Linked DNA regions of Mus musculus: all the other regions are reported to be linked to region 1. Evidence: microRNA targets listed by miRTarBase, many of them from high-throughput screens and not tested one by one. Region 1 holds a microRNA gene; each other region holds the end of a gene's coding sequence.

Region 1 (5,000 bases):
CTAAAAGGAGCTGGTGATGCTGACAAAATGCAAACAACCTTGACCGAAACCACAAGACACAGGACACAGACCTGTGCTCTTCTGAGATGCCAGTATCAGGAAGCAGTAAAGAGACAGCACAACTAAATGTAACACACATTCTGGCCTAACTAATCTGGGGTTTTTGTTGCCCTTAAGGATACTTCTAAGCAGTTCTGGAGAACCTGAGAGAGCCGATAGGTCAGGAAATGTACTGAAAGGACATTCATTTACTGACTTTGATAGTTACAGTGTGATTATGTAGAACAACATTTTCTTTCATTTCTTTTTCTTTTTAAAACTGAGATAGAATATGGCCTGGAACGCCTGCGTAGTCCAACTGGCCTCAAAACCCCGAGTGCAGGTATTACAGGGTACAGCACCATACTTGGCATGTTTTTATCTTGTTGTTGTTGGTCTTGTTTTTAAATATATGACATAAACAAGTATTATCACAAGATCCTCATGGATTACGGCTGGCTAGAGTACTGGTTAGCTCACCTGGTTCCTGTCCCGAGCATTTGTGTACCTGATCTTCTGAATGAAGTAGAATATGAGCCACGCTGAAGAAATAATCATCAAAACAATAAAGGAGATTGACACGAAGACTAGAGAGCCACGGCTGAAGTTCTTTGGCGGCATTCGAGTTCCAACAGCTATTGTCATTTGTACAGAGATGTTTTTCTCCAGATAACTCAAAATATCCTTACCCCTCAATTCTGTTATCATGACAGCAATAATATCTCCCGTGCCTGTAATGTAAAACAAATACACAGACTAAAGTGACATCTGAAATTCATAGACACATCAAATAAATATACACATATGCTCCATAGAGAAATTACCATAATTTTCACTAAGGTTTATAGATTCCAGTTCAACTGACATGAGGCTGCAGCTGTGTAAACTGACAGGCATGAGAACATGTACAGTGCTCCAAACAGGTAACGCATAAAGCAACTGTGGTGTTAACAATGCACAAACTGCCTTACCGGTGCATTAGAAGCACTGTGAAAGCAGCCACCTGTGACTAAATCAGGTTAAGTCTTCAGTAGAAAACCTTTCTATAGCAATCAATCTGGAAAGTTCTGACAGAGAAGCACTGTCATTTACAGTCTGAACAGGTGGTCCTTGCACTACTCATCCTCACACGCACTGCTGAGCAAGGACTGCTCTAAGAAACAGAAAGAAGGGTACTTCTTAGGGCACACACTTGGCTATGGAGTGACAAGTGCCGAACGGCAACATCTTTTACCAACAACCTTTGAAACTAACTTTGGTCTTCTGTCTACAGTAAAGCTCCTTCCAGGGCACTTCTGGAGCTCAAACGCAACAATTTTCCCACCCAGTTTGGAGCCAGCATCTCACATTGCCTCGGCTAGCCTCAGACTTGAGTTTTATGTTAGTTTTCCACCTTGTTTAACCATGCCCAGCGCACTCAAATCCTCTAGGCAGGCCCAAGTTTCAACTTTCTGGACTACTACCCATAATGATACCTAAAACCTTCAGTTCCTAAAAGCTGTTCAGAGTTCTGCCCACAGGCACAACTTTTATAAGTTAATTACAAGGATGGTTCAGTTGTGTTTTCAAGTCCTTTTCTCACATGGCTTCAAGGGCCTGTTTTAAGTCAGAGTGAGCAGCTACTCACCAAGGTCACTTTTGTGAGTATGAAGGAGGATTGTGCATCCAAACACAAAATACCCTCTCAAAACAGCAAGCAGAGACCCCAGACCTGACCTTTTGAAGGCTCTGTCAACAAATATTAGAAACACTTGTTTTGATTTCTTGTTACCTTTAGCAGTCAAGATGAGACACAACAGAAACTCAGTAACAGAAGTTTTGAAAAAAATATAGCTCAATGGAATATATATTTGCATAATACTGTATTCAAAACGGTTTATTCACTTTATTAGAGTAGTAGTTTACCAGTTTATTTTTGCTTAAAAAATCTATAAACAAAAAGGAGACAACAAAATTAAAACTAGCATTATTAAGTTAACATCTGCCTCTGGTGAGTGAGTTAAAAAGAATCATAAAAGAATGCTAAACCAGTTTAAATTTCCATTTAGAAACCTTAAGTTTGTGCTTTTACAATGTTGATCAACAGGCATGATCTGTGGTGTTAAGATACCAGGTATGGCTATAAAGTAACTGAGACGGATCCCACAAACGACATATGACAATCAGTCTCATTGCTTTATAATCACACCAAGTACAATTGGTTTTAGAAATCAGTTCTGAGGCTCCCTCTTGAAGACTCAAGCTGGAAGTGGGGAGAGCTGCACAGGTAGCCAAGGCAACCAATCCAGTAATTTCCTTAACCGAACACTAAATGGGCGCGTCAACTAATCTCAACAGGAAGCTGTTTGGGAAAGAAAAATTTAATTAGTTCAACACTTGTCAATATTCACTGTTAGGAGGACAAGAGTGAATAGATCTCACTGTAGCTTTATCATCCTAGCAAAAAGAGGAGACTGGGCAATGTTGCCAAAGGAGACTGAAAATGATCAAATAAAAAAGTACAGCAGCACATCTGATATTAGTGAAGGCAGTGATCTCTTACAGAAGGTGATGAAGCAAACTACAAACCCTCCTAGGAAAAAAGTTTCTTTCTCCCCAACATCTAGAGCTGGGCTGGGTTCAAAGAGCCTAACAAGATGGCTCAGACATTTACAAATGGGGATGGGACTAAAGAGATGGCTAAGAGCACTGGTTGATCTTGCAGAGGACGAGGTTTGGTTCCCAGCATCAATATGGCAGCTCATAACTACTGTAACTCCAATTCTAGAGGGAACAGACACTCTCTTCTGGCCTTCGAGGGCTCTGTACACATGGTGCACATAGACTCATGCAGGTATACACACACACACACACACACACACACACACAATAAAAAAGTAAATAAACCTTAAAAACAAAACAAAAAACTCTTGGGAGAGTTGGTGCAGATTCAGGAGGGATGATGACAACAGAGGAAACTTAACCCTCAGGATAAAACTAGGATTAGAGTAGCAGTAGCTGGTAGGAGAGAGGGGTTAATTAGACTGAAGTAATGGAAACATTAAACAGATACAAAGAATGTGACCAGATCACCCCTATGCCTGTGTTCTGAAACACCAAGACATGGCTTTGGAGTTCAACAATCATGCAGCTATGTGTTCCTTTTCTACTGCTGTGGTTAAACATCATAGCCAACATAACGTATACAAGGAGGGGCTTGTTTGGCTTATAGTTCCATCATGGTGGGGAAGAATGGCAGCAAACTGTAGGTAGGAACTGGATGCCAAGAACTCACACCTTTTTAAAAACACTGTTAATTTCAATTATGTGTTTATGTGTGTAGCTTTGTGCATGCAAGTTATAGTTGCCTGTGGAGACCAGGAGTCACAGACCCCCTGGAAGGGGGGATACGGGCAGTTGTGAGAGACCTGTTGTGGGTGCTGGGAATTGAACTCAGGTTCTCTCCATGAGCAGAAGAATGCCCTGGAAACCTCTGAGTCATCTCTCCAGTCTCACATCTTGAACCATAAGCACTAAGCTGAGAGAACAGCAGTAAATTTTGGGAATCTTTAAACTTTCAAAGCTGGACTCTACTAATACACTCCTCTTCCAACAAGGCCACACCTCCAACACATCCCCAAATGATACCATGCACCTGAGACCAAGTGTTCAAATACGGGCACCTATGGAAGATTTTCTCACTCACACCACCATAGCTAGTATTAATTCTTAGAGATGGCAGTGAAATAAAGAATATTATGAGTATTATTATAATCCCAGCACTCTGGAGGCAGAGGCAGGTAGATCTCTGTGAGTTGGAGGCTAGCCTGGTCTATAGAGCGAGTTCCAGGACAGTCAGGGCCACACAGAGAAACCGTGTCTTGAAAAACAACAACAACAAAAAGTTATTACTTAACCTCATGTTTATATGTATATGCGTGTGTATCTACCTGTCACTGACTCCCTGGAACTGGTGTTACAGGTGACTGTGAACTGTCCCATATGAGTTCTGAGAACCGAACTCTTTGAGAGAACAGTAAGCACTCACAACTACTGGACCATCTTGCTAGCCTGCCAATTTATTCTTTAATAGGAATTTATGTTGTTTTAGTAACTTAGCATGGCTACTTAAATTTGCAATTCTTCCCTGTAATTCTTCCCTTTTTATTCTGAGAATTTTCTTTTCTTTTTTTCTTCATAATTTACTTATTTTTATTCTATGTGTATTGGTATTATGCCTGCATATACAGACGTTCGTGTGTGAGAGTGCCTGGAACTGGAGTTATAGACAGTTGGGAGCTACCATGTGGGTGCTGGGAATTGAACTCTGGTCTTCAGGAAGAGTAGCCAATGCTCTTAACTGCTGAGCTATCTCCCCAGCCCCAGTATTTTAGGAATTTTCAAATGGAACAGTTTCCATAGTATGGGAGCTTTCAGATAATCTTTGTTTAGATTTGCAAACAGGAAACACTTCTGCCTTTCTACACGAATTTTTTTTTTTTTTTTTTTTGCTGGACCAACTGAGAGCAGATTGTAACCAATAGGACATTTCAATCTTTAATAATTCAACAGTTCTCCTAAGAACAAGGTTACTTCAGATGCACACAATTTATTAATTATATTAAACTTTTACTTCTGATAAAATGTATTTAGTGTTTAATATACTTCGTATTCAGCTATTCTGACTCAGCCTAACAATTCAACCAAGGGCTATGGACCCTGTACCTGGTTGTCTTGTCTCATTAGTTTTCTGAAGGGCTCTAGCATGCCCATGGCACTGCCAGGCCTTGCCTTTTCCCTCCCTCTCTCCTGTAAACCACAGATTATATCCCTAAAGCTAGGCATAAAGGCCTATTCCCTCATTTGGACATTTTCTCATGTAGACTCATTCCTGAGGCTATAAAGGTCCACCAATCAAAACCCCCATGTTAATAACATGACCAACAAACCTTATCACTACATCCTAGCCCACTGTAACACAG
Region 2 (5,091 bases), not on the chromosome of region 1:
AGACAACTGGGCTCTGAGGAAGAAAGTAACTCGGAGAAATGCTTTCATCCTAAAAGGGCATGAAGGATTATCCAATATGGGTTATTTTATATTACTTACTGATACCGGTCTATTGATACATTAGAGCTACCCCTGCATCTAATCAAGAGATGCTTAAAGAGATTAAAACTTGTATTATGTATATCGCTTAGGCACACACACTCAAGATATTCACAATAGGCAACTGGAAGGCATGAAATATTTAAATTTAGTTAAGTCACCTTTTATGTTACTCCCTAAGGGAAATAAATTGTGCCTAACAACCTTTAAATAGTATAATGGGCTAGCTACGAGAACCAATGTTAGCATTTCCATAATGCCAAAGTCTTGCAAAGGGGTCACTAGATTTTTCATAAATTGTCTTACTCATGAAATCTACAAATATTTCTACAACCCCAACAGCTGTGACATCGAAGATAGTTTCTAAAATAACCTAGTAATCTTAAAAATAAAGACTTTGAGATGGCACACAAGAAGTTCACAGGGGTGAGAGGTGGGTAAAGGCCAATGTTCAAACAAGCCACGGAGCTCTATCATCTGCCCAGTACACGGGATGGAAAAAGTAAACCACTGAGAGATGTATGACACAACATGGTGTAAGAGGGAGGTCCCCTGGCCACGGCAAGAGTAGAGCAGCGACAGCTGACAAGTTGCTATTGCAGTAGACAGAGAACAGCAGGCCCAACATGCTCACAGGCTGAAAGGGACAATGTAGTTTTCTAAGATCCATTCTAGACCTGATAAATCACAAATGCTTAGAATTTCAGTTACTTCATGAACTAATTCCAACTGAATGCACCAGAACTGGTGATTCAGGAATACAAAGTTGGCAAACCAGTGGGAAAAGAAAAGAAAAGGAAAGGAAAGGAAAGGAAAGGAAAGGAAAGGAAAGGAAAGGAAAGGAAAGGAAAGGAAAGGAAAGGAAAAGAAAGGAAGAGGAAAAACAAAATGTCCAGAGAATTAAGCAGAATAATTCCAGGATTAGTTTTCCACTTGATCATAAAGACTTTTTCCATTATTTTTACTGTCCAGGGTGCGGGTCTCTACTAACAAGGATCTACCCAGAATAGATGGCACAGGACAGATGAGCCAGCCAGACCCATAACAAACACAATAGCAGATGACACTAGTGCCCATCACAGTAGAATGATTGACAAGGAACATGCGCTTCTATTTGAAGAGAGGGTACCTGCTTTTTACCTTTCCCTACCTCAGATTTTAGACCCCGATCAAAGCATTGTAGAATGAGCTGACCTCCAATTCAATTAACCCAGACAGACACTCAGACCAGGGCGGGATGACAGTCACCAGAACTGCTGAATTCACTCCATTCCCAAGGAGCTGGTTGGGCTGTTGGATTGCTCGAACAGCTGCAGTGTCCAGGAATCTGAATTGATCTCCCTTAGCTCCTGCCCACTTGTCTCTTCCTGTCCTCAGGACAACTAGAAGGCCACTCAACTGTCTGCAGTGTAAATAGGGAACATCTCCTATGTGCAGACAGAGCAAGTGGTCAAATATACTCGGGAGTTGCTGTAGTTACCCTTCCATCAATTCTCCCAAGGAAATTAGGCTTTCCCTCCCAAGGCTCTGAAATACAATCCTTACATTTACAAAACACCGATCAGAACACTGCCTCTGCAGGTAGCTACAGAAACTGCAATCAGACATACTGGAAACCCAGCCTATTACCCGTGGCCTCAAAAAGATGATTAGATAACGTTGTCTCTTAGGCACTTGCTCTTCACAAAACATCTTAAATCACAACAGATTTTAAAAGATGATTCTTACAAACATCCTAAGAAATTGGTGCCGGTACAGTATCTTGAACATGACAGAAAATAGATAAAGTTCTGTGGTATTAATTCTATTGCAGTACTTATAAAGCCACTGATAGATGGTCCACAGTGCTGACAGAGAGAATTTGAGCAATATAAACAAAAGAAAACCACAAAATAAAATAGCACAAGTAGATTTGTTTGATAGTATAAAAGTAGTCATTTAAAAAATGATTTATTGTCTACTTAATGTGTATGTATGTATGTTTCTATGTGAATGCATGCCATGTGTGTTTGGGTGCCTACAGAGGCCAGAGCGAGTGTCAGCTCTTCTGGAGTTACAGACAGTTAAGGACTGCCTGCCATGGGTGCTGGGAAACAAACTCTGGTCCTATGGAAAAGCAGAAAGTGCCCTTAACTGCCGGGACACCCTCCAGTCTCTAAAACAGTCATTTTTAGCTTAATTTTTTTCATTTAATATCAGAATGGGAATTTACAGACCATGAGCTTTGATAGTTTCTCACAAAATATGGGTATTCTTTTTGTTTGGTTGGTTTGAGTTTTGAATAAACAGACCAGGCTGGCCTCGAACTCAGAGATTTGCCTGCCCCTGCCTCCCAAATGCTAGAATTAACAATGTGTGCCACCACACCCCATCACATTAATAGTATGAATAGATTGTTTTTAAAATATCGTTATCAAAGCTCTTCTAAAGAATTTATAAACTTTTCTTCATATATATATATATAATTATTAAACATATTTCTATAGCTCATGACAATTTATTTCCCTACTATCTGTAGCTAATTGTGTGATTCATATTAGTGAGATATAATGATTTCTGCCTCCGTGTTATCAATGTTGAATAAGAAATGGCACCTTACGTAACAGGCCACCAGTGCCTGCTGAGCATGGGGAACTGCAGTCGGGGACAGCAGGAGCAACTCCATAATCTGGGCCACTGTCAGTGCTAAATGCATAAATAAATAAACTGAAAGGTCATGAATGCTCACGTTCATCTCACTGTAGACAAGAGACCACAGACTCAGCGGATACTAGAGGTATTGTAATCCATGTGCAAGGCCATAGTTATCAAACTCACTCCTCCGTGTACAGCTTCCCCAGTATACAGAAAGCTACCAAATGCACCAGCTCTGGAGGCTGCAGGCAGTGAGTGCTACCTTGCCTCTCCCACTGGAAAACCCAAGTCCTGGAAAAGGTAAGTTATTTGCTTTATGTTGTTAACTATTAACCAACAGAGAAAGACTCAGAACTACAAACCTGGGGCGCTGACGAGGGAAGGTGGAGCCATCTACCCTCTAGAGAAGTTACTGGTCTTGGAAATAATAGAAACAAGACAAAAGCCCAGGTCCATGGACTCTAACTGGTTTTTGTCACTGGGTGGAGTCTGGCCCTCAGCTGTAACACCCACTATTGATAGGCCGTTGATTGGGAGGAGAGCGAGGGGTTGAAGAAACTATATTCTAATGGGAAGAGTTTGGATTAATGCTAAGCATTGTTGAAAGTGTCTAACACAGAGACTCACAGTTACACAATTCAAAGAGAAATTAAAGCCATCTGTGCCTTTTCTGTTTCTCGAAATGAGCGTGTTCTTTCTAATTCACAAAGGGTGATTGACAGGTGTGGGGACCCCAGAAGGGCATCTGCTCAGGCTCTGATCCGGGTTCCTACTCAGAGAACCAAGATGCAGCCATGGCCCTGGGTCAGCAGCATCATGACTGTAAACAATCACTGACATGTCACATATCACTCACAGCAACAGGAGCTTCTCCTTCCTGTAAGAAACACAATGGAAGTCTGTAGTTCAGGCTTCAGCACTAAGCTTAGGGAGATCTAAAATACAGCTTTTTATTCCCTTAGATACATGAGAAATGTGTCTATGTGATTGAATGCTATTATTGGATCTGATATGAGTACATTCAAATACAGGATAGTTTCTGAAAAATGCCACCACCTTCAACCAATGAGAGGACTGGAAATCCTGAAACTTACAACTGTGACATCTTGCTGAGATACAAGTCCCTTCTGCCTAGGAATACTTCACCCACCTCAGGCCCCTCATTTCTCTCTTCCAGAATCTTCAGAAACCCACTGTCATACTATTATAGATGTGATATTTATTTACTCTCAGAGATTTAAACAGCAGTAAAATATCTCTGAAGTTTAAAGGACAAGCCAATCTAAAAATGGCTCAGCTGATAAAGCCATTTGCTATTTGAACAATATTAATTTTTACATTAAAAAAATAAATAATCTAACTAGGCTTTATTGTACCTGCCAGTCTTTTAAAAGACTTCACCCCCTCAATTGAAATCTACAGTGAAGGCAGAGTATAAGAATTTCTGTATAGTATTAAATGTCATTCCAGAGGGGAAAGTATGTAGACCAAACAGTACGCCACTCCGATGACAGGAAGTGGCTGACAGCAGGCTTTCTGTTTCTTATTTGATGGATCATGGGTCCACCTTGACACAGAGAGTGATCTCCATAGCAAGAGTCAATGTTAACCGGGGGGGAAGATCCATCCTGTGTGTTCCGGATCAGTCCGTGGAAGGTTTCTTCCAGAGATGAAGAGCTGCTTGAATTCTGAAGTGTAGCCTGGACTCCAGGGAGTAATCCTTATAGTTATTTCTGAAGACAAGGATAAAATTGTACAGTCAGAACTTACCCTCTCTAGGGGGGTGCCGCCCCCTTCCTCTGCCTCCCTCTGACCCCTTACATCTGACTCTAACATGTTCTACTGGAGCAGAGTAAAGAGCAGCGTCTTTCTGTGGGGCAAAGTGAACAGTGAGTCTGCATTCTTGCTTTCCTGAGGCTTCCCCAGTGATGATTTAAGAGGTTATACCGTTGAGTAAATCATTCTAATTGCCAGACCACAACTATAGCATGGTCAAGAAGGCATGGCACATTGGCTAAATACTGCTACATGGCTCAACTTCCATATTTAAAGAGGAAAACATTAAGGCAGGGTCATATAACACAATGATCATGAACAATCCACTATTCAACAGAATAAAAATACCTTGAAACCCACACGGTTACCCCACAACAAAGACACCAGGATTTCCCCGTGACCCCAAAACCACTTACTCCAGTTCTCATGTAAGTTTTCAGTGATTTTGTCACTAATGACTCAATTAGACCAGTGTCAGAAGGGGTCAAGAAGGCAAGGTGGGTGGTACACTGTGAGAGGCGAGGAATGGAACACAGTGGGAGAGAACACGCCTGGCACACAGAGCCTCTGGGGTCAATCCCC
Region 3 (5,091 bases), not on the chromosome of region 1:
GAGGCAGAGTCAGACAGAGCTCTGTGAGTTCAAAGCCAGCCTGGTCTATATAGCAAGTTCTATGGGCTGCTTAGAGACCCTACCTTTAAAAAATGACCTTAATTACTCAGAATAATAATTAGTAATACCTTTCTGCTAAATGTGCAGTGGTTTCCACTTAAATTAAAAATAAATGTTTAAACGTTGCACATTTTACCCTAACTCTCCCACTGGTGAGAGGGAGCTTCCCTTAGGACACATAAGGAATTCTTATTGAGGAAAACTTATTTGGGTGCAGAAGTAAGAACTGAAGATTTTAGCTGGTGGTAGCAAACAAGGTGAAGGAACTAGGTATCTTTCTACCAGAGATGAGTTAGATACTCTGCAGCAGGTGTATGGGAGCATGCCACAGTCCCAGCCCTGAGCAGGCTGGAGCAGGAGGATGGCAAGCCACCGAGAAGAGAAAAGAAAGACTACGCTTACATACACTGGTACACAGTGGTTTCTAAGACGTGGGTACAAGGTCAGCGAGAACGTACTCACTTGCTCGTTTCCCACACATTGACAACTTCAGTCATTCCTGGTGAAATACGTAGGCAACCAGTTGATCCTGGAAGAGAGAATTAAAGGTTGGAGTGAAGAGAAAGATTAATTTTTCATTGCACATTTCTATGTTGTTTGCATTTTTAAAGCCATGTACTTTTCAAAAAACCTGATTTTTTAGAAAAAGAAAAAAAGGAAAAACTTGTTTTGCTTGGACTTCCCTGACAGGAGTGATCGACACAGGAACTGCCCCATTTGTCGCCTACAGATGACTGGAGCAAATGAATCATGGGTGGTGTCAGATGCACCCACTGAAGATGACATGGCTAACTATATTCTTAACATGGCTGATGAGGCAGGCCAGCCCCACAGGCCATGACTTGGGGAAGACTTTCTGTTGTTATTCTGAACTACAAATACACTGTTGTCGTAGAGGAGAAGGGGGGGATATTGTGGCACACACAGAAATATCAGTTTTCCCACCCTCTTATTTTTGCTATTCTGGTATGTCCCGTTCTTAAATAAACTCCCATGTCTTCCATGTATGGTGGGCTACAGTTTGCTACTGTTTAGCCATATTTCCCACAGTCCACCTATTCTATGTTGCTCTTGAGCCCTTTGCTACAGATAGCAGCAATACTTGACACTACTGCTTTTCAGGGAGGGAGGGACTGTTCTGGCATCTTTTTAGTAGGTTTAAGTTTTAGAGTGTTGACAGTTGTAGCCATCTGAGATAAATGACTGAAACTAATGTCTCAGTTGGAACCTGAGGTGTGTGTGCTCTGCCCCCTTGTGGTTCATTATGGATCCTTCAGTACTGTGGCCCAATTGCTTCCTGATGTTATGTCACTTTTGGCCTTGGGTTCTGGAACTACTTATTCTTTATGTTGCCATGATGCAGCACACGGATTAGGACTGTCTGGTTGGAACTTTGTCTCGAAAATGGACTGTACCGGAGGGATCTTCATGGCTGCTTTAGAAAGGCATCCCCGGACCTGGATAGGTGCCCGTTGGATTTTTTCATAATGCCCATGAAGCTTGAGTTTTCAGAAGGATTTTTTTCTTTTATAGAAACACACATTTTATATTTCCAGATTCCACAGAGGCATCCAGTCCTGAGCCAGACAGCGTTTATTTTAGGTAAAGACGCCTTTCTGAGGCTTCGGTTTCCTCAAATTTCTCAGATTAAAAGAAGAGGACGATCAGGTAAACCTCCTCACCAAGCAGTTGTAAAACCCTAAACTCCAGACCTTGATTGGCTTTCTTCCCATTTCTCTGCACTATTCAGGCATCTAGAGAGAGAACCGTGACAGGAGTGCGGCCTCAGTGACAGCCACAGTGGCTTATGGAGGAAGAACGTTAATGCTAACAGTGCAGCCTATAAAAGTGCTAGTGCATGAAATAAGTCCCCTGTAAGAAATGTTAGCGTTCCATAGAAGTCTTCTCACAGATTTTTGGCAAGTTTCAACTGTCCCTGTTTTCCTAAGTATAGATGTACACAATTGAAGTTACTGCTTATTGATTTTTGATTCAGATTTTAATGAATATTTAAATAAAATCCCTTTCAAAGAAAAAGATCTGACTTGATTCAGATTTTAATGAATATTCAAATAAAATCCCTCTCGGGGGAAAAAAAGGTCTGACTTGATTCTGCCCCCAAATACTGAAGACATCAATAGTCCATTCACTGTAAGGACAGGGCAGTGACACCAAATGGCTAAGCAGTCTGCCGAGCATGCGGGCAAGCACAGTGCTGTTGTCTGTCATACCTTAGCTGAGATGGTTTCACAACCCCGAGAAAGTCTTACTCTGTTGTAGGTTCTTATTGAGAAACTCAGATTGTATTTGTGGTTTTCAAACATTAGCATTTCAAGTAAGTTCTGAGAGCCTATTCACACTGAGTGCACACACACACATGCTACCCCGTTATAGAGAAGCTACATATTATTAATACAAGTTTCCTTACACAAACCTTAGTGTGATCGAGTTTAAGTCAGTATATGAAAATGTGAAAATGTATTGGTGATACAGTTACATTAGAATTTGTAAATGAAAAAACCTCTGTTTTGTAAAAATAATAACAATTCAGGGCTAGAGGTGTAACTCAGTTGGTAGAGTGCTTACCTAATATATATAAAGCCTGGGTTCCATCCCAGCACTGCGTAAAAACAGTGATGCTGGTGCACCCCTCCTACCCCAGCACTTGAGAGGAGGAAGCAGGAAGACCAGAAGGCCCAGGTCATCCTCCATCACAGAGTGAGTTCAAGGATAGCCTGGGCTACATTGAAATGCTGTTTCAAAAACAATTGGGATGGCTAGGCTAGAGAGCTAACTCAGTGGTTAAGAGCACTTACTGTTCTTGCAGAGGACCAGAGTTTAATCCCCAGCACCCACATTAGTGGTTTACAACCACCTGTATCTCTCCAAGGGCTCCAACACCCTCATCTGACCACCTAGGGCACCCACATGCATGTTACACACAGAGAGACACACTAGCAAAACAACTTTAAAACATTTTAAAATTCATATTCTGTCATATTCTGTCAACTTTCAAGTGCTCCATAGAACACATTCTCTAAGCCTTGGAATGAGTGATCTTCTGAGATGCTTTCTAGCCCTAAAATTGTCCTTTTGGATTTTGACTTGCTGGGTTTAATTCAAATTGTCTAATCTTAAAGTGTTTCAGAAATTAATAACATAGCTTTAGGGGTTGGGGATATTTCCAGCAATAGCCAATACCTCTATTCCCCAGAATCCTTCATTTTTGAAAGAATAGAAAGTGAGTCCAGTGACTTGATCTTGCCCACTGCCCTTTATTTAAAGTGTGATCTCTGGGATACTAACTGGTCTACTGTGAAGCGTCAGTGTCTCCAACTGCCTTATCAAGTAGTAAGCAGAGTTCTCTATGCATTCCATTGAACTGGGTGGTGACTCCAGATGTCAATAGTAGGTAGGGTTCACCATAGGATCTAATCATAAATTTGTCTCATGAGTAAAATGTATACTTTTTCTATTCTGTACAGCTTTGCCTTTATAAAATAAGAACTACATAAATACATTTACCATGGTAGGAAATTGTGTGCCTTCAGTGATGTGCAAATTGCCTCCTGCTTTAGGGAATTGTTGTAAATTGTATGTTAGTGCTGTGCTCACTCAGTAACAGCAGGTTGGCTCAAATGCTGGAAACGTTGGGTTTCAGAAAGAGTTTGACTATGTATTGATGTAAAGGCTGACAACAGCAAAGCCTGTTTTATTCTTAGGAAAAACTGATACAATGTGCAATAAGTAAACTTTGCAAGTGAACATTAGCTAACTAAAAACGTTTGCTTATGTAATTTCACATTCTTATATACTAAATATTTATATTTATTAGAGGACTGTTTTGTATTGTGCTCTGGGGGTTGTGTTGTTTGTGTGCTGTTTTGAGGTGATTTTCTTGTATTAATATACAACTGGGTAATAAGGCTGCTTGGAAACCTTTTTTTGGTTCCCTGATTTTTTAACACTGGGAAGTTGGATTCATTAAAAGATAGTCTGAATAACTTGCATCCGTAGGTGTTGGGAGTTTCCTTGCTTTGGGGAGAGGGTTCTCGACTGAAGCCTACTTTGTCTGTCGGCTCATCACCTGCATTTATGAGAAGCAACGTAACAGCAGTGTGAGCAGCTACTGTGACTTTGGTTAGCTTTTCTTTCCTAGTACCCGTTAGACAGAATAAAGGGTCCACACTGAGCTCTGCCAGTTCTGTGCTTTCCGTGTAAAAGAATGTCATTGGAGAAACAGAAGAGAGGAAGCAGAGGGAGGTGGCAGCTTCGAGTCAGGTTTGCTGGTGCCCGTCAACCATACTGTGGAGAAACCCGCATTACTATCAAAGCATAAGAGTCCTTCGGATACACTTTGCTAAATCCCCACTCTGTAGTCTCAGCTCTTCATCAGCTTCTGTTTTACAGAATGCGCCTTAAAGATGATCGCTCAGGAGCCGGAGGCTGTGGGTCTGTGGTGTGAGCCCCCTTTCCTGGTGAGACGGTTATTCTGACAAATCATGGTGCAGACACAACATTTAGGTGCATAAGCCATCACCCTCTGTGTTTAAGAACCAGAGAAATTGTGTTGTGAGCCCACCCTTCAGCAGGCAGCAGCTACTGAGAGAGCCAGCCAAGCACACCCTTAGACCTGCTTTCATTCAAGACTAAAGTGTGGATTCACGAGGCGGAGAGATGGTGCCGACTTTCAGCAGTACAGGCTAAGTAAGATATAAGGCAAACATCCACCCTTAGGAATTGTCCAGAGAGTACTGTCTGGAAACCTGAGCCCATATACAGTTGCCTTGGCTTCCGACTGTAAAACAGGCAAAAGGAGGGATTTACACACACACATACACACACACACAAACACACACACACGAGGATCAGTGAGCACTAGGATTTCATTAAACAAAGTGATAGAGAAACAGTCTGAGAAGCACCCTGGTGAACAGATTAAGACATCATCCGAGGCAAAGCACTCTAGATGTGGCTTTGCTGATGCTCTGTGGGACTGGCAGAAGCTAGGCTGAGGTGCTAGATGACCAC
Region 4 (5,091 bases), not on the chromosome of region 1:
AGCTTCAGCTCTCTCTGACTTCTCTCCTCCAGTGTTCTAGAGCTTCCCTTCTGCTCAGAAATCCAAGTGACAGCTCTGTCACTAGTCTTTGTGTCCTGAAGTGATCAGTCACCTCCCACCCCTCAGCCCCCACGTCTCATATTCTTCACTGCAGCCCATTGCCCAGGGAATACCCCATCTCCATCACACTAACCCTAGAACCCTGGGGGTTTCAGTGAACAAACTTGCCTGTCCACTGTCTGGAGCTGCCCTTGAGCCCTTGTTCTAGGTGTACTTGTGGTGGGATGGACGACACTTACCATGACAAGTTGCCTCGCTCTCAGAAAAGCTTTTTAAATGAGCTTAAAGACCACCATAACCAAGCCTACACCCACTTTAGTGAGACTCTGTCCCTTTAACCCCTTCCTGCTTCAGTCTAGTCTAGCATTGACATTTACTGGATATAGTAGAAAAATAGTTTGCTCATTTTTATGAATGGATTTCAAGTAAATTTCCCACTCTTAAAAGGTTTCTTTATTGCTATCTTAACCTTGATTTTACTACCATTTAAAACATCCTCGAAAAACCCATAGTGTTGCAATAGTTAGAACAGAAAATGGGAGTTGATGGCGTTGTTTTGTTCTCTTATACAGGAGTGGTAGATCCTATGGCTCAGACAGTGAAAGTGACAGAAGTTACTCTCATCACCGGAGTCCCAGCGAGAGCAGCAGATACAGCTGAGATGTCTCTGTACAGATTGTGTCTTAAGTGTAAATACCTGGTAACTTAAAGCTTAAGAAACTGGATGGCAGTCTGTTGTGTTTTAGTATTAGACCTCAATCCTATAGTGGATATTTCTTGTCACTTATTTACATGTGCGCAAAAGAATTTAAAGTGCAGATGTCCCTAGAAATATTTCTATGACCCATTTTACAGTAGGCAACTATGGAATTTTCATTTTCTTGAATCAAGAAATGGTAAATTTGATGTAAGTATAATTTGCAGTGTCACTGTAGATAGGGTTTTCTGTAGATCACATTGTCTGTAGAATTCAGGTTTCTTTTTGTTTCAGGTTTTAGCATCCATGCTGCCAAACACAATTATGGAGAGCTGTCACAAGACACGTGTTCTCCATGTCCCCATGTCCCCATGCTGGTTGTCGTCTTGGTGTGTGCTGTCAGATGAGGCTGTCCACATCCATATTGACCATGGCCAGGTGTGCAGGGTGGTAGCTCATTCCTCTGTGTCCCAGCTGTGAGCACCCACACTTCACAGGGAATGCCAGCCCAGCCACCCCAGCTCCTGCTTTGGTGCTTGGTGCCTTTGGTTCCTCGTATACCCTATGTCATATTGTCACATACTGCATTTCCTGATGCCAGAAAATGAATTGTGATTTTTTTTTTTTAAATTCACTGGCACCAAAAATAATTTCTTCTGAGCTGGGTTCACTGTGAGTGTAGGGGCTTCTTCCAAACACAGATATGTGGTGGAGGTCCCTTGGAACAGAACCTGTATGGCTGGTCATCTTGTTCTGCACATGTGTGCTAAAGTGCCAGCTGAAGAATGTCCTTCAGAAGCAGCTCCACAGACACTCCAGCCAAGCTTCACTCTCACTGTGGCAATAGTAGCAGCCCTGCCCCAACCATCCTATTCCCTGTTTGTGTCGAGACACCCCCCACCCCCACCCCCACGCTGCCCCCTGACTCCATGAAGCCCTGCCTGATGGAGGAAACCCAGGACAAAAGTTGGGGGCAGCAGGGTCACAGGCTCTGCTGCACAGAAAGGGGTTCTTACGGCTTTGTGTGGCTCCTCCAGGAAGAATCTAACCTGTAAAAACTAGTGTGGGTTTGTTTCTTTGTTTTGTTTTACTCTTTAGTTTGCATTCTTTCCCCAAGTGTACTTAATCACCTTAGTGCCGGTTAAATCCAGTTCACAGACTTCCTGTCAGGTATATGGTGTAGAAGTCTGTACTCTCCTATCCCACCCAGGCCTTGCTAGTGCATTTGGGAAGAGTAAAGGCCTTGGGCTGGAGGAAATTACTAAAGCCCTGGCCAGATGGAGGGGAAGTACTGGATATATGAAAGTAGTCTTCCAGGGCCATGTGGCTCAGTGATATATAGCATGTGCTTAGCATGTAAGTAGCTCTGGGATCAGAGGTCAGCACCCCACAAATAAATAATGGTGTTACTCTGTGATGTATGTAAGCAGCATTTTGGTGGCCAGCCAGCTATTGTTCACCATGTCTGTAAATTAGTTAATTAGAAGGATAACATCGGAACTCAGTGCTTGGCGGGTTAGACATGTGGTTTATAGTGAGTGGGTCCTTCTACCCCCCCCCCCTTTAAAGTTGCCTACAAAGAAGGGTGTTTGAATCTAGTATTCAGTAGGAAGAATGCATTCAGAGCCCAAATAAACTGGCAAATGTAATTAGTAAGAAAAGGTCACTATTGGGCCATATATTCTTATTTGGTTGCTGTGTAACAAGTTATCCCAAATTTCTCAGCCTAAGAGTGCCTATGTGTCATTGACAAACAGGCAATGGTAGGGTTGACTCATCTGCTCAGGGTCTCAAGGTAAGGTCTGGAAGAGCTCATTTCTCAGAAGACTCTGGGAAGACGTGACTTGTAGCTGGGCCCCTCTAGAGCCCTCGGTGGATGCCCACATCGCCTGCTGTAGGCCTTGCCAGCTTCAACCAGCAGGGACCCTTTGAGTCTTGTCTTTTTTTCAAAACCTCTGCCCTCCTCCTGCTTTAAGGGTCCATGTAAGTAGATCAGACTCCAGAGATAAATCTCTACTCGAAGTCCCGTGGCCAGAGGAATTACAGACATTGTCGGGTTCTGGGGATTAGCATAGCAAGAGGAAGGGCATCCACCTACCACCTACTGCTGCATGGACAGGGCTTAACCTGTACCAGCAGGCACTCATGTTCAGTAATGTCAACCTTGCTGTTTATACTCGACTGAATACAGAAATGGCTTTTCTTCTTATCCACGATCATTCTGTATTTTGAAGTTATTTTTTTAATAAAATTGAATTATGTTGTGTAATGTGCTTAATAGAAAATGCTTTCTTTATTGGATGATTTTGTAACATCCTGTTTACTGCAAGTGGCATAGTTGATATTGTTCAAAAATGTAGAAAATACTTTTGTACATACTAGCAATGTCTAATTTGTATATACTTCTATGAAATTTCTCTACAACTTGAAAAGGATCTTGTAGAAATGAAAATACATGCTGAGTTTGAGCCTGCCTGCTTGGTCTTTCTTTGCTCAAACTCCAGTCAGTTTCTGATACAGCCAAGCGAAGAGACTTGTCCATTGGCAGGTTACTGGGGTGCAGGAGTGACCTGGGAGAGCCTGGCAGAAACATACCCTCTGGTGGGATGCAACTCCAGGTCTCCTCCCGCTGTCCTCTGCAAGTCATCTGACTGTGGCACCCATCATCACTCACCTCCTAAGACAGACCATGTGACATTTGAACATACAGGTGAGGACCTGCTGGCTAAGCAGAGTGAACCTGCTAGCTTGTTTGCAGAGAACTGGGTTTGCTAAACAGTGTTTCCCCAACTTGGGAAACTGAAAATTGTCGAATGTGGGTGTTTTATTTTTTATTTAAAGAAAATGCCAGGTGTGGTAGGGTAGTGCACATCTTTAACCCCAGCAGAAGAGGGTGGATCTCTTGAGTTCAAGGCCAGACAGAACTGCATAGTAAGACTCTTTACTCTTGTGGTGTGGTGGCAGGACAGCCAGGGCTATACAGAGAAACCCTGTCTCGAAAAACCAAAAAAAAAAAAAAAAAAAAAAAAATATTAATTAATTAATTAATTAAAAGCCGGGCGTGGTGGCACAGGCAAAATACCCATAACTTGTTAAAAAGACAGGTCAGAATGTCTAGCTGAGACAGATTACTGGTTGCTGTAGTCTCTCGGGCACCTCGAGGGAGGAGTTAGAGCTCTGCATTCAGGAATCAGTACACCACAGCACAGGCTGCATTCTGAGGCCTGGGCCTCTTGCCATAGCTGCTTCCTCCCTGTGGTTTACAGCAGCCCGGTGTTGTCTTCTTCAATACCAAACCTCATACAAGCAGTAAGACCAAACTCCTGAGGCTGAGGCACCTGGGAGATACCAAGGCAGAATGTGGGTTTTAAAAGGGCCAGAACTACACCTATGTCCACTGAGCCCTAACCCTGATCCCTGCTGCCCACATGCAGATTCTGAGGACCATTGTCTCTGCCCTAACTTTAAGAGGAGTCTGCCTCCCTGAAGACTATGTCTGGAAACACTTAGGGCTCAGAAGACCTCTAGAACCCCCACTACTGGGCAGACATGTAGGACCCGATGGTCTCTGCACAGCAGTGATGGACGTAGGCCTTGACACTGCTGCTGGTCACATCTGAGTTAAAGGGATGGGGGCTTCCGCAAGAAGTACCACGGCCCAAGGTTGTGGAGGACTAGGGTCTCTGGGAGCCTTTTGGAAGTTAACAGGGAGGCTCTCCTGTAAGGCCCTGGACTTGGTGTGGGAAAGGGAACCTGCTGGTTTGCATTAGGCTCCCACCCTTGTGCAGCTGTGGCCCATTAGTGCTGGACTCAGCAGCCAAAACTGAGGGAGATGGAGGCCACGTACTGTACACCCTCCCCTTCCAGCCTGCACCACCCACTTTTTGGACTGCCTAACTTGCATTTCTGTTACCTGGTGAGCGTAGTTTCCCCAGCCAAGTGCAGGAACCCCAAGCAGTCTGGGGTTGTCTCCTTGTTCTCCAAAGTGAAGTTTGGCCTGGAGTCACTCAGCTTTAGGGGTCTAAAGCACCCACCTCTATCATGGTAATGAGTGCTCTGGCCCCTAAACCAACCAACAGAACTTGAGGTTGTGGCCTAGAATCCTTCCTCTGCTCCCATCTTGTCCCTCCAGTTGGCTGTACCCCATGTCCAGACCACTCAGTTCTGCAGCCATGAACACAACGGGGCTTCTGGCTTTTGCAGCTGTTGCCAGTGACAAGCCCAGTGTGCCCTCTTGCCCTCAGTCGGAGTTCAGAGAACCCAAATGAGACAGCAGGGGGTGGGGTAGGGGTGTCACTCCTTTACCTTAGCCAAGGCCAGTACCAGCTTCTTCC
Region 5 (5,091 bases), not on the chromosome of region 1:
TGACCATCCCCAGTGCGGTTTCATCAGGTACCCAGGAAGACTTTAAAGGCAGCTCTGCCACTATCAGGAAGGAGTCTGGATTCTAAGGCAAAGGGTTCTGCCCTGGGCCTGCTGCCTGGCTGTCCTCTTTGCTCTTTTCTCCTCCCAGCAGCAGTGACAGAAGGCAGGGCAAGGCCTTCATCATTTGCTGCCTTCCTTTACTGAGGGGCTTGAGGGGCTGCTCGCTCCACAGCTCTCCCTGAGACTGTCTCGCTGGTAGGAACCATCTGCTTTTGTTCTTGAGGGTTAGTGTGTTCTGCTCTGTCTCCACAGACCCTCTGATGGACACCCTGATGACCGATCCCGTGAGACTGCCCTCTGGCACCGTCATGGACCGTTCTATCATCCTGCGGCATCTGCTCAACTCCCCCACCGACCCCTTCAACCGCCAGATGCTGACTGAGAGCATGCTGGAGCCAGGTAGGAGGCCAGTGAGTGCAGCCAGACCGTGCGGGAGACTGAGAGCTGGCCGGTGCCGCGAGGCCTGTAGTCCCAGCTACCGGGGTGGATGAAGCAGAAGGGGAGAGCCTGTTCATGGCAAGTAAGTTCCGACAGTGTAATTACAACACTGTCTCAAACAAAAAGGAAAAGATGGCTGGGCCTGCACAGAGCCCTTGCCCAACTGTGTACATTCCCAGGCTCAGTCCCCAGCACCACCACCAGGAAAAGGGACATTGGATCCAGAAAGTACCCAAAAGCCACAGAGCACTCCGCTCACTTTGGCTGTAAATGTTTCCCTGTCCATGGCTGTTCCTTCTGCAGTCTTCAGCGCCCACAGGGAGTGAGCACCGTGGACTCTGTGTCCACGCAGATAGAACTGCAGTGGAAGAGCCTGTCATCCGGGTCATTCATCCCCTGTGCTTTCTCCCTCAGTGCCAGAGCTAAAGGAGCAGATTCAGGCCTGGATGAGAGAGAAACAGAGCAGTGACCACTGAGGCCCCATCGCTCCTCCGCTGGAAGCCGCCACGCCAGCCAGCCAGGCCGCAGCAGCATCTGCCTCGAGGCTGCAGCTCCAGCCTGTAACCAGATGTGGCCAGATCCTGAGAGCCCACCCGTGTGACCAAACAGTGGAGATCTGAGGGGATGACGAGAAGAGGATTCCTGTACATATATTTAAGTGACAACAGTCAAAGCTTGAGGGACGAGTTTACGATGGCTTGTGTAGTAAAGCGCACCCTTCGCCTGTCGCTACCTGGGGCTGTGGCAGCGGAAGTGTTTAGTGACAAGTGGGTCTGGGCAGCTTCCCCTGAGCTTACGTTTTGTTTTGTTTTGTTTTTTCGATGTGAATAGAGAACTCGGACATTTTGCTGCTAAACAATCTCCCCTCCCTCACCCTACTTGCACTGCTGTGGGTTTTTTAAAGAGAAACAGAACCAGACTCCTTTCCCGGCCCTCCAAACATGTATTCTGTGCGATAACTTGTGCCTGCGACAAGTGTTAATCTTGGGATCGTATTTTTATATCATATTCACATACTTGTTTTTTTAATTGGTGTTAGATGACATGATTAATAAAAAAGGCAAGATATTTTCAGAATTTGAATTTCAGTTTTTTTTTCTTTTGAAATAGCCCTTTTAAATTTTTTTATTATAAACAAAATGAAGAGAACCCTGTGAGCCTGGTCCTTCTAGCAACCCTCAGTTAAGATCCTGAGGGACAGGTGCAGCAGCAGCTGGCTGGAGTGGATCAGGACTCCTGTGACTCGTGGGGCTCGGGGGAGGTGAGGGGTGTGTTTGGTTTTTTGTTGTTTTGTTGTTTTGTTTTAATCCTATGTGACAATTCCAACTATGCGGTTACCCTCTGAGGATAAGTTCCTCAGCCCGGGGTTCTTTTATATGCTGTGTCCTTTTGGGGTTTGACCTTACCAAAGCAAAGAAACAAAAAACAAAAAAAACAAAAAAAAAAAAGGGTGCAAGAAATGTGGAAATCTGTCTGCTTGTTTACATGGCCCGACAACACCACCTAGGCGCACGCGAGCAGAAGCCCTCTCTGTATTACCGCTCCCTACGCAACATACTTGAATTCTTGAGTTCCCTTTGGGGTGAGAAAGGATTTGAAACCATAAAGTGTTTTAAAGAAATGAACTCTTCAGAAACAGACTTCCTCCTCTTTTCCTTTCTCCTCTGCTCCACAGCCTGTGCTCTGTTCAGTTCCCAACACAATCGACAATAAACGGTGATGCCCATTCGGAAGGAGCCTCCTGTGAGTCGTCTTTTTGTTGAAAGAAATGGGTGGGGAAGGCTGGCATGGTGGCGCACACCCTTAACCCCAGAACTCTCAAGAAGAGGCAGATGGATCTCTGAGTTTGAGGTCGGCCTGGTCTACATAGAGAGTTCCAGGTCAACCTGGCACACATAACAGGATCCTGTCTTTATAATGTAATATATATGTATAAATATGTATATATGTGTGTGTGTATATATAAACATATATATACACACACATGTATATATATGTGTATGTGGATGGATGGATGAATGGATAGATAGATAGATAGATAGATAGATAGATAGATAGATAGATAGATAGATAGATAGATAGATAGATAGATAGATAGATGATAGATAGATAGATAAAACAGGGCCAAAGAGATAGTTACAAGAGCAGAGAGGGACCCCGGTTTAGTTCCCAACACCCATAGCTTGCAACTGCCTGGAAGTCCAGATCCAGGGGCCTAGACATCTGTCTCCCATGACACTGGGCACACAAATGATGCACGTGCATATACACAAAGCATTTATACACATAAAGGACGAAGGTCCAACAAGAGCAGGTGTCTGAAGAAATGTTCTTTCTGGAGCCAATTAGAAATAGCCTTCCTTTAAAATAAAGCACAGCGGGCCATTGAGACGGTTCAGGGGATAAAGGGGCTTGCTGCGCTCATTCCTCTTGGAAGGAGAGCACAGACAAGTTATCCTCCGTCCGCTACACAGGCTGTAGCACACTGGCATCATATGTATGGTAAGTAAGCAGATGTGTGAATTTAAAGCTTTCTCATCCCCGTCGTCCACATCCCTGATGTGCCACGCTGTTCTCGCTTCACTTCTGGCGTGAAGGGACTCCGCTGTGTCCTCTGCTCTCTGCCTGGCTCTTGATGTTACCTTGGAGATCTCAAGTGGCCATGACTCCTACTCAGGTCCCACCCACTTCATTACCACTCCAGTTTGCAAAGTGATTTCTACCAGCACAGGCGCTAATAATGCCAGCTCAGCTATGGGAAGCACTTAGGTGCCACTTCTGTGTGCCAGGCTGTGCAAAAGCCTCATCTTTATAGTGCCAACCTCAGGAGAGACAGTACTGCTGTGTTTCTGCTTGGTTTTGCTGCCATGGTCTTCAGGAGGTCAGGCTGCGGGCTGCAGAGAGATTCGGTAGCTTGCCCATTGTCTCCTGGCAAGTACATGGCTCTCAGGCCCGTGAGGTCCATTTCCTTATGAGTTCTTTTCTTTCTTCCTTCCTTTCTTTCTTTTTTTTTAAGATTTATTTATTTATTATATGTAAGTACACTGTAGCTGTCTTCAGACATTCCAGAAGAGAGCATCAGATCTCATTACGGATGGTTGTGAGCCACCATGTGGTAGCTGGGATTTGAACTCAGGGCCTCCAGAAGAGCAGTCAGTGCTGAGCCATCTCTCCAGCCCATGAGTTCTTTTCTTGAACACATTGAGCTCACCATCCCCTGCCACCTCAGCCCCAAGTACACAATCTGGGCTAGGATGTAGCTCAGTTGGTAGGAACATCTGCCTAGCATGCAGGAAGCTCTGGGGCAATCCCCAGGATTGATTGTTTGAAGATAGGGTTTCTCTATGTAGCTCTAGCTGTCCTCAAACTAGCTCTGTAGACCAGGCTGGCCTCGAACTCACAGAGACCTGGTGCCTCTCCCTTCTGACTGCTGGGATTAATCCCCGTATCTTAAAGATGATCATCATCATGATCATGACAAGACACAAAAAGGAAATTACTGACGATTCCACCATTGAGGTGATTCTGGTCAGTTTACTTTTTACAAGCGTTTTACCCACAAGCCTATGAAGTTAATGATGTTAATTAATTAGAAGCATGCCTAACGCTTACTGGTTTCACAATTGTGGGTTGCTAATCTCTCCATCCCTAAGAGGTGCTGTTTCTGTCCCGTCAGTGGACAGCTGCTGCTTCCCGTGGGATTTTCAGAATTGAAGGGTTTCAAGAGTGGACTTATGGAAAGAGGGTGGGGCAAGGATGCAGCCAATCTCTTTGCCTCTAGGGGCGTGGTTTGAATTTTTCTTTGATTCTTAGAGTAGCTGTTTCGTGGAAATTTATTGTTTGCCTCCAGCCTGCTAATTAGAGGTGATGGGATCCAGAATATTTCAAAAATAAGTCTGGTTTAGAAGGAAGATTGTCGGACTGAAGAGATGGCTCAGTGGTTAAGAGCACTGGCTGCTCTTCCAGAGGTCCTGAGTTCAACTCATGATGGCTCACAACCATCTATAATGGGATCCGATGCCCTTTTGTAATGTGTCAGCAACACCTTACTCATATACATAAAATGAACAGATTTTTAAAAATTGTCCGAAAAGGAGAACTTGTATGTTCTCAGCAGAAGGAAAGTCCTTGAGAAAGGAACGAGAATGACATCATGCTCATTTTCTGAGTCACTGCTGAATGGGTAATGACAGGGATTGGGCACAGTGCCTCTTCTCTGTCTGTCTAGGCAGTGCTGAAGGTCCAACTCAGGACACGTACATGCTAGGCCGGCACTTGACATCCAACTAGGCAACATCCCTGGCCTTTAGAACAGCCTTTGAACCATGAGTGTCTTACGCGGTTTGCTTTGCACTTGGCACATTGAACGGTGAGTTGCCAGCTGTTTCAGTTGTGCCTTTGGTGTGACCTAGGCATGGTCTAAGTTTTTTTAAAAGATGCATCTGCTTTTATTTTATATATATGGGTACTGCCTGCACCACATGTGTGCAGTGCACATATGAGTCAGAAGAGGGCGTTGGGTGCCCTGGAACTGGAATTACGGTGTTTGTGAGCTGGGTATTGGATATGGCACCAAGGTTCTCTGTAAGAGGA
Region 6 (5,091 bases), not on the chromosome of region 1:
CCACACAGGGACACAACACACAAAGAAACTATCAATATTCCTCATGAACAGAGATGCAGAAATCTTGCCCAAAGAATAAGACAACCAGTGATGTACACACACAGAGGTGGGACAGTGAGGGGTTATGAAAGGAAACATTGATATCTGCAAGCCAATGAAGGGCCTCTCACAACATCCTGCCTTTGGACATTTGGTTTCTAAAACTAAGAGAATTTAAATTTTGTTGTCAAACCCCACAATGGTAGTAAATTGAATTCAACATCGTATTTTTAAAAACCATGTTAGGTTGGCTTAGTCCTAGAGATATGAGCGTGCCAATCACCTAACAGAATGAAGGATTAAAGAGCGTATGATCATCTCAACATGCAAAAAAGGATCTGATAAAGTGCAACGATGCTTTGTGCTAAAAACCCTAAACAAACTCAGAAAAGCCACCTTAACCTAACAAGTACATATGACAAAGCCAGAGTCAGGGTCACAGTGAGTGGGGAAAAGCTGAGAGCAGAATCAACAGCAACAAGAGGCATCCATGGACACAGTTCCTCCTCACAAAGAGATCTGATTAGACAAACCACACAGGAACACAAAAAGCATACAAATAGGAAGGAAATAAAATTATTCCATTGTGCAGATGATGCAGTATTTAGAAAAACCTAAGACTCTATAAAGAACAAATTCAATATTGTAGGATACAAAATTAATAGCTTTTCTATATATCAGTACAAAAATCAGCTAATGCCTTTAGTCCCAGCCCTAGAAAGGCAGAAGCAGGCAGATCTGTGAGTTCGAGGCCAGCCTGGTCTACAGAGTGAGTTCCAGGACAGCCAGGACTACACAGAGAAACCCTGTCTTGAAAAACAAGAAAAGATAAAATAATAACAAAAAGAAATCTGCTAAAATAATGAAAGCAGTCTTACAACAACTATAACAAAAGAAAATGACATAAAACTTAAGCAAAGAAGCCCTCTGTAATAATTACAGAACACTGATAAGAAATATTAGACACAGAAAGTAAAATGCAAATACCTTCCATAGTCACTGACTCAACATTGTTTAAAAAAGTCCACGTTTCTTAAAGTGATCTCTATTTGGACACAACCCCCATCAAAATATCAGTATTGTTATTCTTCACAGAACTAAGAACTAGAAAAAACAATGCTGAAGTTCACATGGAAGCACAAAAGCCTCCAAATAGCGATCTTGGGCAAAATGACCAAAGCAAGGTGTGTCAGAGCACTACCAACCAAACCTGACATGCTATCAGCCTAAAGCAGCCCCTCTATCAATGGAGACAGACAGAAACACACACACACACACACACACACACACACACACACACACACACACACACACCTCACAGCGAGCTCATTCTCACCAAAAGCACCACAAACATGCCCAGGAGAAAGGGCAGCCTCTTCAATAAACAGTACCAGGAAGCTGGATGGCAAGAGGCTCCTCTCTTCTATTCTATGCAAAACAGACTCAAGGTGGATCAAGGGCCTAAATCAAAGAGCTGACACTCTCAAACTCCAGGGAAAATAAAAATGAAATAGTTGAGAAACTGGTAACCGCAATGGCTATTTGGATAGGACCCTAAACACAGGAAACAATAGTAAAAATCAGATGTATGACCACACTGAGTAAATTTGCTTTTTACTGTTTTGTCTGTTTTTGTTTTTTTGAGACAGGGTTTCTGTGTACCCTGGCTGTCCTTGAAAGTATATTTTTTTAGACCAGACTGGCCTCAAACTCAGAGATCCACATGCCTCTGCCTTCTAAGTGTAGGGATTAAAGGCGTGTGCCACCACCACCTGCCTCTGCTTTTCACTGTTAATCTGGATCTTTTAATGGGCTTATTAAAGATGTATGCCAAGCCTGGCTTGTTAGGGCTGCTAGGGAACAAGCTCTGACCTTACCTCTGGCCACAGTTAGAGAGACAGGAGCTGAGACAGTGGTGGGCTGGACTACTCTTTAACGGGCACTATTTAGCTATGCATATCCTCGCCCTCTACTTAAACCTAATGTCAGGACTCCAAAGATGGACCTGGAAAGAGGGCTCTGTGGACCTCTGTTTTTGACTTACTTTTTACTACTGTTTAATTGGCTTCTTGAAAATGTCAGAGCCCAGGCTCTGGCCAATTAAATAATTAGTATGGTAACAAGCAGATTAGTGAACAAGTGAAATGTGTCACACAACCACAACAGAGCATTACTTTAAGGAATGAAATCCTGCCATATGCAATAAGATGAATGAAATTAAAGATGATTATGTTAAGTAAATAAGCCAGGTATAGAATGATAAGCATGATGTTTTCTTTTCCACACAGAATCTAAAACAGTTGATCTATAAGTAGAATACTGAAGACGAGTGTGGTGGTGTACACCTTCGACCCCAGCACTCGGGAGGCAGAGCCAGGCACACCTCTGTGAATTCAAGGTCAGCCTGTTCCAAATAGCAAGTTTCAGGATAGCCAGGCCTACATAGTGAGACCCTGTCTCAAAAAAATCAAACCAGCCAATCACCCAACAAACCAAACCAAACCAAACCAAACCAAACCAATGCAGGATTCTTACTGTTAAGAGACCTGGAAGGTGGTGGAAAACAGAAGGCTACAGCCATTCACATATGTGGAAATATCAAAGCAACCTTCTTAAATGTATACTTAGAATGTTAAAACAAAATTTTAAAGATACAGAAAACTTCAGGAAGGTGTTGTGACTTTTCCTCTTTCTGTGGGGGTGAGGAGTTCAGAAGAAGGCACACAAGCACAGCCGAGTGGTACATTTGTTGTTTTACTGTGAATTTGACATAGCTGAACCAAAGGATTCACAATATTTGATATACTTTGAAGATCGTGTACTATAATCTTAGACATAACCACAGAACAAGCAGAACAATTAAAATTACATAAGGCCTTAAAAACATATCCACAGTGTGTATTATTTTGATTCTCATTCATTACAAATTAAGACTATATACCATTAGTTTATTTTTTATTTTTCTTTCATTTTTCAGGCAGGATTCATTCAAGGAAAGGCAACTTAGTTTTTGTGTGTGAGCTTTATTTATTTATTTTATTTTTTTTACTATACTGGTTAATATAAAATGTATGGCATGTTTTCTTATCCCCTGCATTCAGGAGGGAACCCATGACATTCTCAGATACTACTCCAAAAGAACAGGCCCTACTCTTAAAAACAGCAGAGGTGGAAAGGAACCAAACAGCCAGTCTCTCTGTGGTCTTGAAGATCAACTAACGGAGTTTCAAGTATTCATATAAGGAAGACTACTACAGTTCTAATAATTAGTCAAATTTAAAACAACATTGCATACAAAATCATTCTTGAAGCCCTAACTGTCCTTTAAATAACTGAATGAAAATGTTAAGTAGTTGTCTCACAGTACCAAACATAAGTCAGAACTAGTTAAAATCCAGCGCCATCAGGACTTCTCAGTGACAGGATGAAGAGCTGCTAAGTTAACAGATGGCATAAAAATTAAGACTTCATTTTTTTAAAGGATAAATGTACTATAATTGGAGAATACAGAAAAGTCAATGCATTTTTTTTAACAATAAAATAACCATTTAAGCCTCTATCCCTGTACAGTGGAGTATATATCAACTCAATTTGGATGTTTTCAAACCGTTTTGTTTTTTACAGTTTATTCTGAGTACTTGAATTGCTTTAGATATACAGCTTTTTGAAAGAATATTACATTTGTATACCAGGATATTTAGTACATTGAGATGTTTAAAAATATTTATAAATTTGCTTTTGATATGCAAAAGCATTTGACAATACTTTTACAGCATTTGATTTTATAGAATTAAAATTTCATACAGTACTCATCTTGATGTTTAAAAAAAATTCACAGAAAAAATATAAATTACACAGCCTGACTGCATGATACTGCTATTTCCAGTTTCAAGTTATGGTAATTAAAACCTTCATTAAGTCTGTTAACAAATCATTACCTGTACAGTTATGAAGGCAACTTACATGATTTGTAAACAAAACCTTCAGGTTTTATGTTATTTACCAAGGAGTGCAGTTCAGCAAGAAAAGAAAACCCAGTCTGCAAATTTACAGAGTAGTTTACAAATTTACCAGTTCCTGTGACACGAACTGTTTTAACCTCTCAAGGTATTGTCCATAAAGCTCCACGTCATTGTGTCCTGCCCCTTCAACCCACAGGGGCTCCACAGGTCTTTGGCAGCGCTCAAACAATGCGAGGCCATGGGAAAAGTCAATGACTTCATCTTCAGTCCCGTGAATTATTAATACTGGAGAGGTTATCTTAGAGATTTTGTCAATGCTAGAGAGAATAAGAGAAAGGAAAAAAGCTCAATGAACTGTAGAAAAAAGGAAGTTTCCTGTGTTAGAACAGAAAATTCAAACATTAGAACTGTACAGTAACTCAGCTTTAGGGATGGAAGTCAACTTCAGTAAGATCCAAAGGCCGTCCATCCTTTCCATGACCTCTACGGTGCTGCAGGAAGTTACCTCTGCACAGTTGCTCTGCTTGGACACTGCCACCCTTACATGGAAGCGCTGCCTCGATGCTGAATTTCCCCTAGGCTTCTTAACCCAAGGACCATGCCTGCCTGGGCTAACTTCATTCCCTACTGCACTTATTTTATTCTATCAGTTATTAAAACTCAAGCAAAATCCTTTGGGTTTGTTCTGGTTTAAGGTTAAAAACAGAGAGGAAAACATAAAAAATAGTTTGAAGCTACAAATCGGATGAGTCTATGAAATAGCTATTATATTAGTAAGACAGGTAAAAACACAATGCCAATCAACTAGAAGGTAAAGTGAAGCAGCCTCCAGGCTACAATGGAATACCCTAGCTCTGGCCAAGACATTGCCACGGAGATGAAGGTGGGGGCTGAAACATGATGGAATCCTTCAAACTCTGTTTACAACACAGTAAGGTCCTTCTTTCTCAGACTTCCTGGAAAAGCTGAGTAACTTTCTTCAACTCTAGGTCTGTAGATGTAGGACTCCAGTTTACGTGAAAGGTACTACAGTCACACAGCACACAACAGGCTGGCTCAGTGAGGTCTGTTTGGGTTCTGAAAATGCTCT

Evidence for each region. The annotated mature microRNA mmu-miR-340-5p reads UUAUAAAGCAAUGAGACUGAUU and lies in region 1 at 2,200-2,221, opposite strand. An mRNA with a match to its seed (bases 2 to 7 or 8) in the 3' UTR can be bound and repressed. Matches are read on the target gene's strand: a 7mer-m8 pairs with bases 2 to 8, a 7mer-A1 pairs with bases 2 to 7 and ends in A, and an 8mer does both.
Region 2: the mRNA of Ttc39b is a reported target of mmu-miR-340-5p. Seed matches in the 3' UTR shown: 7mer-A1 at 2,533-2,539 and 8mer at 1,916-1,923.
Region 3: miRTarBase lists Rnf141 as a target of mmu-miR-340-5p. The part of its 3' UTR that is shown has no 7-base or 8-base seed match.
Region 4: the mRNA of Nktr is a reported target of mmu-miR-340-5p. The part of its 3' UTR that is shown has no 7-base or 8-base seed match.
Region 5: the mRNA of Ube4b is a reported target of mmu-miR-340-5p. The part of its 3' UTR that is shown has no 7-base or 8-base seed match.
Region 6: the mRNA of Abhd17b is a reported target of mmu-miR-340-5p. Seed matches in the 3' UTR shown: 7mer-A1 at 3,764-3,770.

What each region holds. Positions count from the first base shown.
Region 1 is chr11:50,066,941-50,071,940 of GRCm38, reverse strand. Mir340 (microRNA 340) reads right to left here and starts at 2,239; the gene lies at 2,142-2,239. It overlaps Rnf130 (ring finger protein 130), which reads right to left. Exons shown (of 9, transcript NM_021540.4): 3 at 520-770.
Region 2 is chr4:83,222,759-83,227,849 of GRCm38, forward strand. Ttc39b (tetratricopeptide repeat domain 39B) reads right to left here. Exons shown (of 20, transcript NM_027238.2): 20 at 1-4,466. The coding sequence ends at 4,376. Among named protein-coding and RNA genes, the nearest start is that of Gm46887, 39 kb to the left of the region's middle.
Region 3 is chr7:110,812,510-110,817,600 of GRCm38, reverse strand. It overlaps Rnf141 (ring finger protein 141), which reads left to right. Exons shown (of 6, transcript NM_025999.3): 6 at 751-1,066. The coding sequence ends at 901. Among named protein-coding and RNA genes, the nearest start is that of Rnf141, 29 kb to the left of the region's middle.
Region 4 is chr9:121,753,613-121,758,703 of GRCm38, forward strand. Nktr (natural killer tumor recognition sequence) reads left to right here. Exons shown (of 17, transcript NM_010918.2): 17 at 633-3,229. The coding sequence ends at 720. E530011L22Rik (RIKEN cDNA E530011L22 gene) reads right to left here. Exons shown (of 1, transcript NR_033503.1): 1 at 3,028-5,091. Among named protein-coding and RNA genes, the nearest start is that of E530011L22Rik, 3.8 kb to the right of the region's middle.
Region 5 is chr4:149,325,559-149,330,649 of GRCm38, reverse strand. Ube4b (ubiquitination factor E4B) reads left to right here. Exons shown (of 27, transcript NM_022022.3): 26 at 313-459; 27 at 913-2,234. The coding sequence ends at 974. Among named protein-coding and RNA genes, the nearest start is that of Ube4bos3, 6.5 kb to the left of the region's middle.
Region 6 is chr19:21,683,325-21,688,415 of GRCm38, reverse strand. Abhd17b (abhydrolase domain containing 17B) reads right to left here. Exons shown (of 4, transcript NM_146096.3): 4 at 2,779-4,318. The coding sequence ends at 4,099. Among named protein-coding and RNA genes, the nearest start is that of Abhd17b, 33 kb to the right of the region's middle.